2 linked regions of the Canis lupus familiaris genome follow. The protein of the gene in region 2 purifies or fractionates together with the protein of the main gene of each other region. This does not show direct contact. Links are inferred from orthologs where the notes say so. Each region holds a gene or a part of one and is shown on either strand. Other genes may lie near its edges.

Region 1 (6,394 bases), on a different chromosome or scaffold from region 2:
ATATTTCCCTCGCTGAGAGGAATGGCAGCTGAATGCACTATATCCAATCAACAGGAGCACCTTCCGTGGCCCAGGCTCTGCTCCAGACGCTGGGGATTCAGCAGTGAGCACAGATCCCTGCTTTCCTGGGGCTCACATGCCAGTGGCTAAGACAAACGAGCAAAATCCGAGTGCCCGTACATTCTGAGGCTGTCCCAGCTCCTCCTGCATCCTGAGCACTTCCACAGGCCTTTTTACATACCACTGCCTTGGCCTCCTCGGCACCTGGCACTAGCCACTGCCTGGGAAGCATTTAACTACTTACTGACTCAATCACAGTTATCCAAGAAATAAACATTTTATGCAGTTTAGTGACCAAGCCTCCAAAAGGCTCTGAGACTGAAAAATACCCTGGACGGAGTTACTTAACATCAGCAATTATTTCCTCATATTCGGTTTTTTTTTTTTTTCCTGTTGTTCCAAGAAGTTCTGCAAACAGTTCTAAGACAGGCTAGAGGGACCAGCTGTACAAAATCTATTGATTCTCAACAATTCATAAGGCTGCTTCTTACATAGCTGGGCTATGCAAAGATGCTTCGTCTACACCATCTAAATTCCAAATACGAGCTTCCTTAAAATGCACACAGTAGATGGACAAAAAGGCTTGAGACCAAAAGTCTGGGAAGCATCACAGAAGATCAACACTATGGCTGTACCCAACTGGCTTTTTTTAAACACATGAACATTTCTTTAGACACAGAGGTGGCTGCTTCATCATAATATAGCTTATGCCAATTTGATAGGCCATAGTCAAAACACCAAGATGACACAACACATTTTTCTATATTACCTGTGTACTCCAGTGACATCACAAAAAAAGCAATGGACCTTATCTAACCAGAGTAATGTTTTATCTCAAGTAACACCTCAGGTTCTACATTACTTCCCTTTATTCCCTTAGTGTGCGTGTGTGTGCGTGTGTGCGCGCGCGCACACACACACACAGAGCCCAGAGATCTGGCAGGGGACCAAGAAACCCAAACATAACAACACAAGTTTAAACTTAACTCATGAAACTAGTCTTGGGTTTCCACAATGTCTCTTGGTAACACACATACAAAAAAAGTTTACCACATCCAGTCAGAGCTTCTGGCTCGTCATTCTTTGTGACTGGCCCCAGGCACACAATATATCAGAGATGAAAGATGAAGACAAGGTATGACTTATTTGAGCGGTTAAAAAAAAAAAACAACAACATGTCGTTTGCTAACTTTGTATCAAATGTGTCCCATTCTTGGCCCCAGGAGAACAAGGACACTACAGTCTCCTCTATGTTATCTTTATTGCTAGGCAGGTCCTTGGATTTTCAGAAGTACGGGGACTTCTCTGTTCTTTGATGGGTAGTGCAAGATGTGCACAATTTGCCCTGGCCTTGAACACTGGGGGGTATAGGCTATGTGGGGCATATTGGGAAATGCAGAGGTGAGAGGGTTCTGTAACTCAGGATGGGGTCTCAGTGAGCTACTTGTACTCATGGAACAGCCAAGGGAACCAAGGAGGGAGAACCACTGGTGCTCAACTAAATCACACTCATTCTAGCAAATAGGCAAGATCCACGTCCTTTCCTGCAGAGGAACCCCAGCTTAATCTCTGGATATAAGGGAGGTATATGGTGGAGGAAACTCAACCCAATGGGTGTTGTTGTGAGCTCTAGGGACAGACACGGTCATGAAATCACAGAGCTTTATTTTGAGTAGCAATTTAGATGCCTCCTAGCTGAGGGGGAAAAAAGTGTGTGTGTGCTTAACTTTCACATTATATAATGGGACTCTCCCCACAGCCACCTGAACAAAAATATACAATATACCAAAACCTTCTTTCTAAAAACTCCTTATTGAGACTAAATGTACTCTAAAGATATGGGTATACCTTAAGACACAAGGTTTCAGTTATCTCAAGTAAAAGCTTGACTCCAGAGATATTAAGTTTTCCATCTTCACAAACAAGAATGTCAAAGGACAGAACCCCTGCTGGTCCAGCTCAGACTGCCTCCCTGAAAGCGAAGAGAAAAGTCAGCACTCTCTAGTTCCCCACCCCACCCCGTCCACCCATGGCTGGCGGGGTCTCATGTGTGGTGGGTCTCACTCCCTCAAGACACAGCACAATTCTTGGTAAGTGCTCCTACCCCCCACCCCTTCTCCCCACCCTCCACCCCTACCACACACACCACCCCTGGGCAGCCCCAGGCTGCCTGGCTTGCTTCCTTGTGGGCTTCCTTGCCAAGTTACTCCCGTGGAAAGGTTAGTGTAGCCAACAATGGCCACTCTCATCAACCCCCTTCCCCATGAAGGGCAGCTGGGCCAAGCCAGGAATCTACTTTAGAAGAATTTAATAATCTTTATTTCCTGGGGAGGTTCAGGTTCCTGACCCACCTACCAAATATCCTGAATACTGTCACCATACAAATGATTACCACAGTCTTTAGAAGCGCTGACTGTAAGAACGGCACTTAAAGCCCTCCATTGCTTGCATGTTACTCGTCCATCAAAAAGAAAAAGTTGAAGAGGTAGCAGCAGGTTGCCACCCCAGACAAGGATGCAGCCTTGCAGAAGCCTCCCTCCAGGGTAGAAGGAGGGAAGGGGACCGAGCTGATGCCCCCCGCGAGGTCCAGTCGCGATGAACCGGGGTGAGCTCGAGTTCCCCAGGGAAGCTCGCCAGCCTTCTCCCCGCCAGTCCTCCCTGACTTTGAGGGAGCGCAGTCTTGTGTCCCCACGCCCCCGTCCCCATCCGCCTTGGCGTTTAGCCGTCCAGCTACCAAGCTGTACCGGTCAGCTTCAGGCCCTCGCCCTCCTCCGACCCCCCTCCCACCTCTGCGACCTGGGGCGGCCCCCGCGGCCCCGCTAGCCCAGGCTGCTGCTCGTCTGCGCTCTTCCCACGGCGGGCAAGTGTCCTCCCTAACGGGGGAGGGGCCCGGCAGGACGCGGTCGCCGCATCCCGCACAGTCCCGGGACCTGCGGCGCGCGGACGTCCCTCGCTCGGGCCCCGGGGCTGCTCGCGGGGGCACCGTCCAGCGCGAGTCCACGGAAAGTGAGAGCCTCTGCCCTGACCTGGAAACCCCGGGCTTGGCGCCCAGCCGGGGAAGCGCCGGCGCCCCCGCCCTCCCCGGCCTGCTCCGTCTCCAACTGCGCCTCCCGAAACCGCCGCATTCGAACTCGCGCTCGGCCTGGGCGCGGGGGGCGCGGGGGCGCGGGGGCGCGGGGGCGCGGGGGCGCGGGGGGCGCAAGCTCTTCGGCCTCTTCGGCCTCCCCGCCCGCGCCGGCCAGAACGCAGCCCGCGGGACGCGCGGAGCAGGAACTCGCCCAAGTTTGCCAAGCCCCGGCCGAAGTCTCTGGAAAGTTGCAGCTCCCTCCCCGGGCGTCACGCCTGGTCCTCGCGGGGCGGGGGATGAGCGTGCGCGCGGGGTGCCGTCGCGGGGGCTGGAGGGGCAGGGAGCACCTGTCCGTGCCTCCCCCCGGCCCCCCGCCCCCCCCGGCTCTGGGAAGCCCGGAGCTCCGCTCGGCGGGACCGACCCCCCCCGCCCCGAAGGCAGCGCGCGCGGCGCTCCGGGGCCGCCGCATCCTCGCACCTGTAGGGCAGGGGGCTGGGGACTCACCTGGGCGGCGGAAGAGGCGACGACAGAGGCAGGTCCTCGGCGCGGTCACTGCAGCCCCCAGGCAGCGGCACCGAGAGAGCGGTCCCGCCGCCGCCCCCTCCGTTCTTATACGGCCTGGCCACGCCCCCGCCGCCGCCCGCCCCGCCCCGCCCCGCCCAGCCTGCCCTCCCCGGGGAGCGAGGGGCGGGGCGGGGCGGAGCCAGCGCCCTCGGGGTCCTCCCGCCGCGGCGCTGACGGCGAGGGCGGGGCGCGCGGGGCCCCCTGATTGGCCCCCGGCTGAATGGTTGCCGAGAGACGAGTAAATCTTCGGCGGCGGGAAGGGGCGGGGTGGGCGGGCGGGAGCGCGGCGCAGGCGCAGGCGCAGTCGAGGGGCCTGGCCGGCTCCCCCGCCCCAACCCCGGAGTCCCGGGGCTCTGCTCTCCGCCGGGCTCCTGCTGCCGTCGCCGTCCGTCGCCTCTTCCTCCGTCTCCGTCCTGCTGCCTCGCAGGCCTGCTTTCCTCTTGCTCCTCCGGGGATCTTGGCCTTGCTCCTCTTCTCTCCGGAGCGGGCAGTGACACCCCGACGCCTACCTCCCGCGTGTGTTTTGAGGTCTGGAAACACACACACACACACACACACACACACACACACACACCAGCTTGTGGCTTGTGAGCCGAGGAAGCCTTCCTCTTCCCCCCAAGCAAATTGCCTGGAGGCTGGCCCTCCGCCCGCAGGCTGCACCTGTGTGTGGTTAGCGGGTGCGGGCCTCGAGAAGTCCGGTCGCCCAGGCTGACAACTGCGACCGCGTGGCCGCGCCCCCGAGGGCCGCGTGTATTATAGAAGGTGCGAGCCGGGCTTGGACACCAGCCGCCGGCTCCGTAGCCAGCGGCTTGGGGTCCAGGTTCGAAACTCAGGTCAGTGTGGGCTGGGACCTCCGCTCACCACCTGTCTATCTGCAAGGCCTTGGGCAACGACTTAACTCTCCCCGTAAACCTGTTTGCTCACCTGTATGATGAGGCTAAAGCTAGAGCAGCTTCCTAGGCTTCTGTAAGTATTGGATAAGAACATGGAAGGCTATTAGTGCAGTGTCTCACGCAAATTGTGTGGCAAGTGTTGCTCATATCAAATAGTAGCTGTTGTTAGTGATCAATAAACGTTTACTGAGCTTGTGCGGATCCCCCTACTGGGTGGTGGAGAGGAAGGTTACTTCCCAGGTGCGGGATCTCCCTATCCCTCCCCTTGCGACCCCGCCTGAAATATCCGTGTCTGCCAAGATCTCAAGAGCTCTCTGGGGGCAGGGGGAAGTCTCCCGGAAGGTTGATGAGATAGGATATCAGCATGCCTCCGTGGGGGAAAGCAACAGTGATTCTATTGTTGGACATGAAATCAGGGTGTATGGTCTGGTTTTTTTCTCTTCACCCTTTGAGATATACATTCAGGATAGTGCACAAAGCTGGGGTTACACCATGATGAATTTCTATGTATGTGTACACTCAGGTATCTCCAGCTTCCTCATGCCCCTTCCCATTCCGTGTCCCTCAAGGGTCAACGCTGTTCTGACCTCTATCACCACAGGTTAGTTTTCCAGGGTTTGAACTGGATGTGGATGAATTACATGTCTGTGCATTTTTGTGTCCATCTCCTTTCACTTAACGGTGTGTCTATAATATTCATCCATTTGGTCGATGTAACAATAGTTCATTCTTTTCCATTGTTGTATATTATTTAATTGTATAAATATTCAATAATTGATACACTCTTCCTACTGGTAGATGTTTGGGTTGCATCAAGTTCTTGTCTATCCTGAATGAAGCTGCTACAAACTATCTTTTTTTTTTTTTCTAGCTTCATTGAAGTGTAGTTGGCAATTAAAAATTAGGTACATTTAAGGCGTACTACATGATGTTTTAATGTACATTGTGAAATGATTACCACAACCAACCTAGCCATTACCTCCCATAGTTACCACGTGTGTATGTGTAGTGCAAATGCTTAATATCAAACTCTCTTTTGCAAATTTCAGTTATATAATACAGTACTATAGTTATAGTCACCGTGGTGTACATTAGATCCCCAGAATTTATTCATCTGGCATAACTGTACCTTTATACCCTCAGGTCTATATATACAGGATTGGAATTGCAGAATCACAGAGTATATACATATTAAGCTTTAAATGTATTGCCAAATGGTTTACTCAAGTGGTATAACAATTCGTATTCCAATGAGCGATGTGAGATTTCCGGTTGCTCCACATCTTTGCCAGTATTGGTATCATCGGTCTTTTTAATTTAAAAAGGCGAGCGTGTATTGTATTATGATTTACGTTTATTTGTTGATCAGTGATGTTGAGAAATTTCTTAGACGCAACTGGCCATTTGATATCTTTTTAGTGTATTTAGTGCAAGTCTTTTTGTCCATTTGTAGAGAGTTGTCTCTCTTAGTGATCTGTAAGAGTTCTTTACACATTCTGGGTATAAGTCCTTGCCCAGTATATGCATGACAAATATCTTCTCCCAGTCTGTGATTTTCTTTTCATTCTCTGGATGCTATCTTTTGACAAATAGAAATTCTTAAGTTTAAAGGAGTCTAATTTATTAATCTTATATTTTAGGACTGGGGCTTTCATGTCCTGTTTGAAGAATCATTGCCTGGTGTTAAGGCCGTAGGGATCATTGCCTTTATTTTCTTCTAGGAACCTGATTGCTTTAACCTTCACAGTTAGGTCTATGATTCATCACACATTAATTTGTTGGGCAGCTTGGGGTCAAGATTTATTTTTTC
Region 2 (6,227 bases):
AACAAGCCAAGAAGTAAAGGGCCAATGGAAGAAGTAATATTCAAAGAAATAATTGGTCAATGTGTTGAGTATTGTTGAGAGTTAAAGATGATTGAAAATGACCTTATTTCATCGATAAGAAAAATGAAGCGTTGAGAAGTGACTTGTTCAAGGCTGACGTAAATTCCTGTCCCTTTCTGGATTCCCAGAGAATTCATACCGGTGCCTGTGTTAGGGTTATTTATGTGTATGATTCATTCTCTCCACAGGACATAAATTCCCCAGTCCTCACTTGACTCAACCTTCTAGCATTGCATATTGTTGACTACAATCTTTACATCTACTTCAGTGATATTCTGGAATTATGTCTTAGTCTCCTTCGAAATAGCCGTTCTTCTTTGTTGTGATTATACATGTAGGAATGCCCGGCATACTTTTTAAAAATACAGTGGTTTTTTTTTTGTTTTTTGTTTTTTGTTTTTAATGCCATTTTTTGTTTCCTCCTCTCCCCCTAGTCAAAATCTTGAGGGGTAGATTACAAGATTCTGGCTTTTTTTTAAAAAAAAAAAACCCCAAGTAGGAAGCTTTGGAAATTACTAGCTTAGAGTTAAGGTTTGGAAACCACTAGCTTAGTCTTAGACCAAACAGAGCTAGGGTAGCAAGATGGAGAAGCCACCCAACGTGCCCACACTCTGATAAATACTCATATTTTACAACAATACACAGTTAAGCTTCAGTTATTCCGAGATCGGCTTTCCAGCAAATTTTGTCTGGAGGAGGGCCAAAACTGGAAGTTGAGGAAAGAAAACACCTCTCACAGGGAAAGAACTTTTGAGAGTGAACGAGCAATAAAAATCTCTCAAAATATCACTTGATGTAGAGTCCCTGTCCTATTTACTGATGGGAAGAAAAATGATTCTCTCATTAGCCGGCTGTGGATATGAACATCTGATCAATCATCGCCTGGAGCCAGAGAAAAGCCATCAGGAAAAACGAGTAAAAAATAAACAGTAGAGTAGAAAGGATGAGAGGAAGGCTCAGAGTGGATAAAGAGACAGATGAGATGAGAAGCAGTGACAGGTTATTAGAAAAGGTGATGAGAGCATTCCAAAAAGGGGGGAAAAAAGAAAAAGAGAGAGAGTGAGAGAGTGAGAGAGAGAGAGAGAGAGATCACCGAAGTAGGGAATCCTAGATCCCTAAGCAATCCCCTGGGACTTTAGCAAATGGCCAAGGTATCTAACCCTAACCCTGACTGTAACCCTAACCCTAACCCTGACGTGTTTGATTGTCAGTCATCGACAAAGGATTTCATTAAAATGCTGTATTCTTTAAGAATGTAGGGAGTAATCAGGTTTTAAAAGGATTTCTGAGGGATCCTTGGGTGGCTCAGCGGCATAGCGCCTGCCTTTGGCCCAGGGCATGATCCTGGAGTCCCGGAATCGAGTCCCATGTCTGCTCTCTGCACGGAGCCTGCTTCTCTCTCTGCCTCTGGGTGTATGTGTGTCTTTCGTGAATAAATAAATAAAATCTTTTAAAAACAAAAAATAAAAGGATTTCTGGAAAAAGGGTTACAATGAAAGATAATAATAATAAAAAACACGGCTATTTTAAAACGCCGTGCAATTACTAAAGTGAATTAGAGCCTGAGCAGGGAGCCGGGGGACACTCATCCCGGGTTTTGGAGGGCGCGGTCCCCGGGGTCGGACCCCTTCCCAGGGCCTTCCGCCGAGTCCTCAGCAGGGAGCAGCCCGGCCAGCCGCCCCCCCCCCCCCCCCCCGACTGCTGCCCGTTTGAAGCAACCCGTGCTCCCTTCGCTCCGAAGTCCTCGCGCTGTCGTGCAAATTAAGGTAACGGGTGTCCGTGCGATTGGGCCGGGGAGCACACCAAGACACGCCCCCCACCCCCACCCCCCAGCAGCACCCCCCAGCAGCACCCCCACCCTGCCACGTTTTCAAATGAAGTAATTATCTAAATATTTTTGCTTGCCGTAGAGATCCGGGGCTCTAAGTGTTTAGGATGGAAAACCTCCAACCCACTTGGCTTGGCTTCCTAGTCCTTGGGGGGGGGGGGGGAGGGGGGTGTCTTTAAAAGCACCTGCCAGCATTTAAGTTCTGGTGCTTTCGGAGAGAGGCTGACCCGGCGCGTCCCAGAGGGAGCCTTTTTCCAGTCTGCACGGAGAACCGCGTGAGTGGCCCCCCAGGGATGTCGATTCACCCTCCCACACACCCCTGCTTCCCCCCTGCTTCCCCCTAGGGTCGCCCGCAGGCTGCCGGGGCAGATGCTTCAGCGGGACCCCGAGCGGCGAGGCCGCGGGATCCAGCCTGCAGCCCCGGGAGCTGGAAGGGGGCGCTCCGAGGCGCAGCGCCCGGCGGGGGCGTGGCTAGGGGCGTGGCTAGAGGCGTGACCAGGGGGCGTGGCCAGGGTGCGGGCGGCCGGGGGCGCCGTCGGCGAGGCTCGCGCAGCCGCAGTGGGCGCGCCGACGCCGGGCTCCTCCTCCTCCCGGCTCCGTAGTAAGCATGGCGGCGGCGGCGTTCGTGGTCCCTCGGGTGAAACAGAAAGCGGGAGCTGCGCGGAGAGGGAGCGGAGAGCGGGGCTGAGGCGGCGCCGTCACCGCCGGAAAACCACGCCGACAGTCAGCGCGCCGGCGGCCGCAGCGGCCCCCCGGGAGCTGGCGCTGCCGCCCAGGCAGGGCGAGGACGGTCGGGAAGCCGAAGGAGGGGCGCCCGGGAGCCGCCTTCCTCCGCCTCAGAGCGGCGTGACTCGGAGGTGAGAGACGGGGGACGGCGAGCCGGCGCCGCGGGGACCGTTAGGCTGCCGGGGGCGGGGGGGCGGGGGGCCCGTCGGGGGGCAGGGCGGGGGCGGCGCCCGCCCACTTGTCGCCCACCTGCCGGGCCCGAGTCCCGCTGCGAGGCGCCTGAGGGGGGGCGGGGGGCGCGACCGCGACCGCGACCCGCCCCCTCCCCTTGCCCCTCCCCCTCCCCCGCCGGCGGGGAGCAGCGCGGCTCGCGGAGGCTCGGGGCGCCGAGCGCGGAGCCCGGCGGAGAAGGTCGCCGAGCGGTCGCCGCGCCTCAGCTTGGGCCGCCGCCGAACTGAGACGCTTTTTCCGGAGCGCGTCGCCGCCCCCGCCCCCGCTCCTCTGAAGGGGTTAAAACGTCCACGAGCCCGCCCTTGGCCGTCGGGTGCTGCGCGGCCGGCGCCCCGTACCTGGCGGTTCTCCGCGAGCCACCTGTTGGGGCGGGAGGGCACTGCCGGGGCTGCCGCGCTCGCTCGCGCTGCTGAGGAACCACCTGGATCCGTGAACTCCGGACACGGCGGCGGCGGCGGCGGAGGGACGCCACGCGTCAGGTAAGGCGGACGGGCGAGTGATGCCGCCGCTCCGGCTGCAGCGGGAACGCGGGCTGTCGTCGTTAGTGTCGCCCTCGGTCGATCTTGTACCGCTCTGTCCGCGCTAAAAAGCTCGGGGGTATTTTTTCCTTTTTTTTTTTTTTACTTTTACTTTTTTTTTTTTTTTTGCCGGGGGGGGGGGGGAGTGGGGGGACAGGGAGGGAGCCTGTAATGGACGCTGGAGCGCCCGGAACCGTGCCTTCGAGATCTTCCGTTGTGAAATTTTAACGTGTCTCTGGACACCTTTGTGTCTGAGCATCTTCTAACCCAAGGATCGTTAAGCTGATAAGGTATTTTTTTTTTCTTTCCTTTTTTTTTCTTCTTCCTTTTTTTTCCGCAGTATGATCCCTCCTACGTTGTTGTCCAGTATGGACTTTGAAAACCGAGCCGCCTCATTATTAAGCTTAACTGCGGGCTGTTTTTTTTTTTTTTTTTTAGTTCTGGAAACCAAAGTTGCAGGGTTTTTTTTCTTTTTTTTCTGTATCCTAAGAATGAAAAGAAAGAAAAAAAAATGACTGAAGTTGAACTGTTACTCCACTATTTTCCCCGCCGTGCCGTTTCCAGCACCAGCGGGAACTAAACATATGCCCTACTCAGGAGTTAGAGCCATATGTCAGGCAGCAACTAATTGGGATTTGTGGCCCTGATCTCGGTGTTTGGATAAATATTTAGTTTTTTTGTGCATTTGCTAAATCTGTAATTCTTGCCGTCGTGTCAGTTTTGTTTGAATCACCTATAAATATTCCAGAGGAATGACTCCTCTGCCTTTTTGGTATTTTCTTGGTTGAGTTGATTTCATCTCAGGTCATGAGATAAAGTGCCTGTTGAGGCAGAGGGTGGGCTTAACAGAAAACAATGATAAAAAGGATTTTTAGCACTTTTTTTTTTTTTTTTTTAAATAACCTGGAACCTAAAATTTGCTTTCAGCTCTCTGGCCGACTGATAATGCTTGCCATCACTAAATAACACTAGTTAGTGGGGAAAAAAGAATGATTTAACAGGGAGGAAAAAAAAACACCTCACTAAGATTTTTGTAAATAATGTCATATTCAAAAGTTTTTAGCGTTGTTCTGGTAAATTTTACTGTTTTTTTTTTTTTTCTTCAGAGATCGTCTCTCAGTTTTCTTATGTAGAATGACAGAGAAATTTTTTTATCCTTAGCTGGGTGCCTTTAGCCACCTGTATGCTTCTGAGTTAACTCCCTTTTCCCCTTTGTCTCTCCTTTTGAATTCTCAAAACCATTGAGTGTTTAGGGAAGATAGACTTCTAGTTAACCCTGGCCTTAGTCAGATGTAATTATAAGGGCAGTTTGCTTCTTCCAAATTACTGATATACATTTGAAAAAAAACCAATGCTAGGATTATCTTTTGGTGCCATCTGTGTCATCACTTCCCCTCATCATGTGAGTAATTGACAGCTGATTCATTTTACCATGCGTTTAATAATTACTTTTTAATTGTAAAATTTCTACAGTATAATATTAAGCATATTTTATTCATAATTAAGAAAACTGTCTCTCTCTTCTCTGACCAGCCAGGCATAGGTAAGGACTGAGAGACTATAAAACCCAGGACTAAAAGAAGGAATATATGATTAATATCCTCATCATCCTCTGTAGCTTAACTTAGGTAAAGAGCGCTTACTTTATAATACGCCGTATTGTTAGTATAAACTCATGGGTAATAAAATGCTTGTTTTAAAACATTTCTTTTTTATGTGCGTACATGCAAGTCTTGTGCACCTTATATTTTGCCTATATTTTTATAACAACAGTTTGGTCAAGTAATAAAAATTTTTTTAGGGATCCCTGGGTGGCGCAGCGGTTTGGCGCCTGCCTTTGGCCCAGGGCGCGATCCTGGAGACCCGGGATCGAATCCCACGTCAGGCTCCCGGTGCATGGAGCCTGCTTCTCCCTCTGCCTGTGTCTCTGCCTCTCTCTCTCTCTCTCTCTCTATCATAAATAAATTAAAAAAAAAAAAAAAAAAAAAATTTTTTTATATTCTTGGTGCATTTTTGTATGGTGGTATACTTGAGAGTGATATAAGGGTATGCACTTGGTTTCCAATTTTATTAGCCAGATAATCAAAAGATAAATGATTGGTGTTTTTTTTTTCCTTAACAATTTCTAGCACACCTCAAATAAATTTAGAGTATTGAAAATCTAAAGATTTAGGGTACAGTGCATGTCTATCCCACTGAATCTTTTAGGGCTTCAGTTATCACACTGCAAAAAAAAAAAAAAAAAAATCCTTAATGGATATCAATGTCAAGAGCTGCCTGTTGAAAGGAAATTAATGGCCGATAGTGTTGAAAGGCAGATTTTTTTAAACATGTATTGTAAGCTTTTATAACTTTCTTACTATTTTGATATCATTTTATTTCAGAATATTTTTCAGTGGTCTCTTAATTTCTTGATCCTTATTTTTCTATCCTTCCATATTATAGTTTTGTTTGTGTTTCACATACACTTTCTAAGTTTGCAGTACAGCTTATGGTCTTCCATCAAGTTATTTTGTGGGTATCTTCCTTTGATATTTCCAATCACTTATCACCCATTTTCCAGTCTTCAGATTATTTTTTTCTCCAAGATAGAGAGGTACACTTGGGAGATGACATGTGCTCAAAGGATGATGAGCCACTATTGAAGTGGGGATATTAAAGCAGTGTGGTATCTTTACTTCCTTCAAGTTGTTTAGAAAATAGTTGTAGATACTAGACTAACAGGAAATCATTAGTGAAAATATAAGATGTTATTATTAAATTGGATGGCCAGGACTTAATTTGAAAGAAAGTGAGTCCACTGAGGGATCATGGAAGGCATTTGGAAGAAATCAGACTTGAAGCCTGGGAAGGACTTAGCACAA

What was found. The genes of interacting proteins can lie anywhere in the genome.
Region 1: the proteins of FNDC3A (region 2) and TENT5C purify together in Homo sapiens (affinity purification with western blotting; 3 studies listed by BioGRID, with this or other methods). This does not show direct contact. The link is inferred for Canis lupus familiaris from reciprocal best matches to the Homo sapiens genes FNDC3A and TENT5C.

The regions. Positions count from the first base shown.
Region 1 is NC_049238.1:55,475,286-55,481,679, reverse strand, and holds the start of TENT5C (terminal nucleotidyltransferase 5C), read right to left. Parts: upstream 3,755-6,394; 5' UTR 3,632-3,754; intron 3,205-3,631; exon of another isoform or gene 3,087-3,204; intron 2,033-3,086; exon of another isoform or gene 1,909-2,032; intron 1-1,908. UniProt on the Homo sapiens protein: Catalyzes the transfer of one adenosine molecule from an ATP to an mRNA poly(A) tail bearing a 3'-OH terminal group and enhances mRNA stability and gene expression.
Region 2 is NC_049243.1:2,663,179-2,669,405, reverse strand, and holds the start of FNDC3A (fibronectin type-III domain-containing protein 3A), read left to right. Parts: upstream 1-2,493; 5' UTR 2,494-2,745; intron 2,746-3,183; exon of another isoform or gene 3,184-3,404; intron 3,405-6,227. UniProt on the Homo sapiens protein: Mediates spermatid-Sertoli adhesion during spermatogenesis.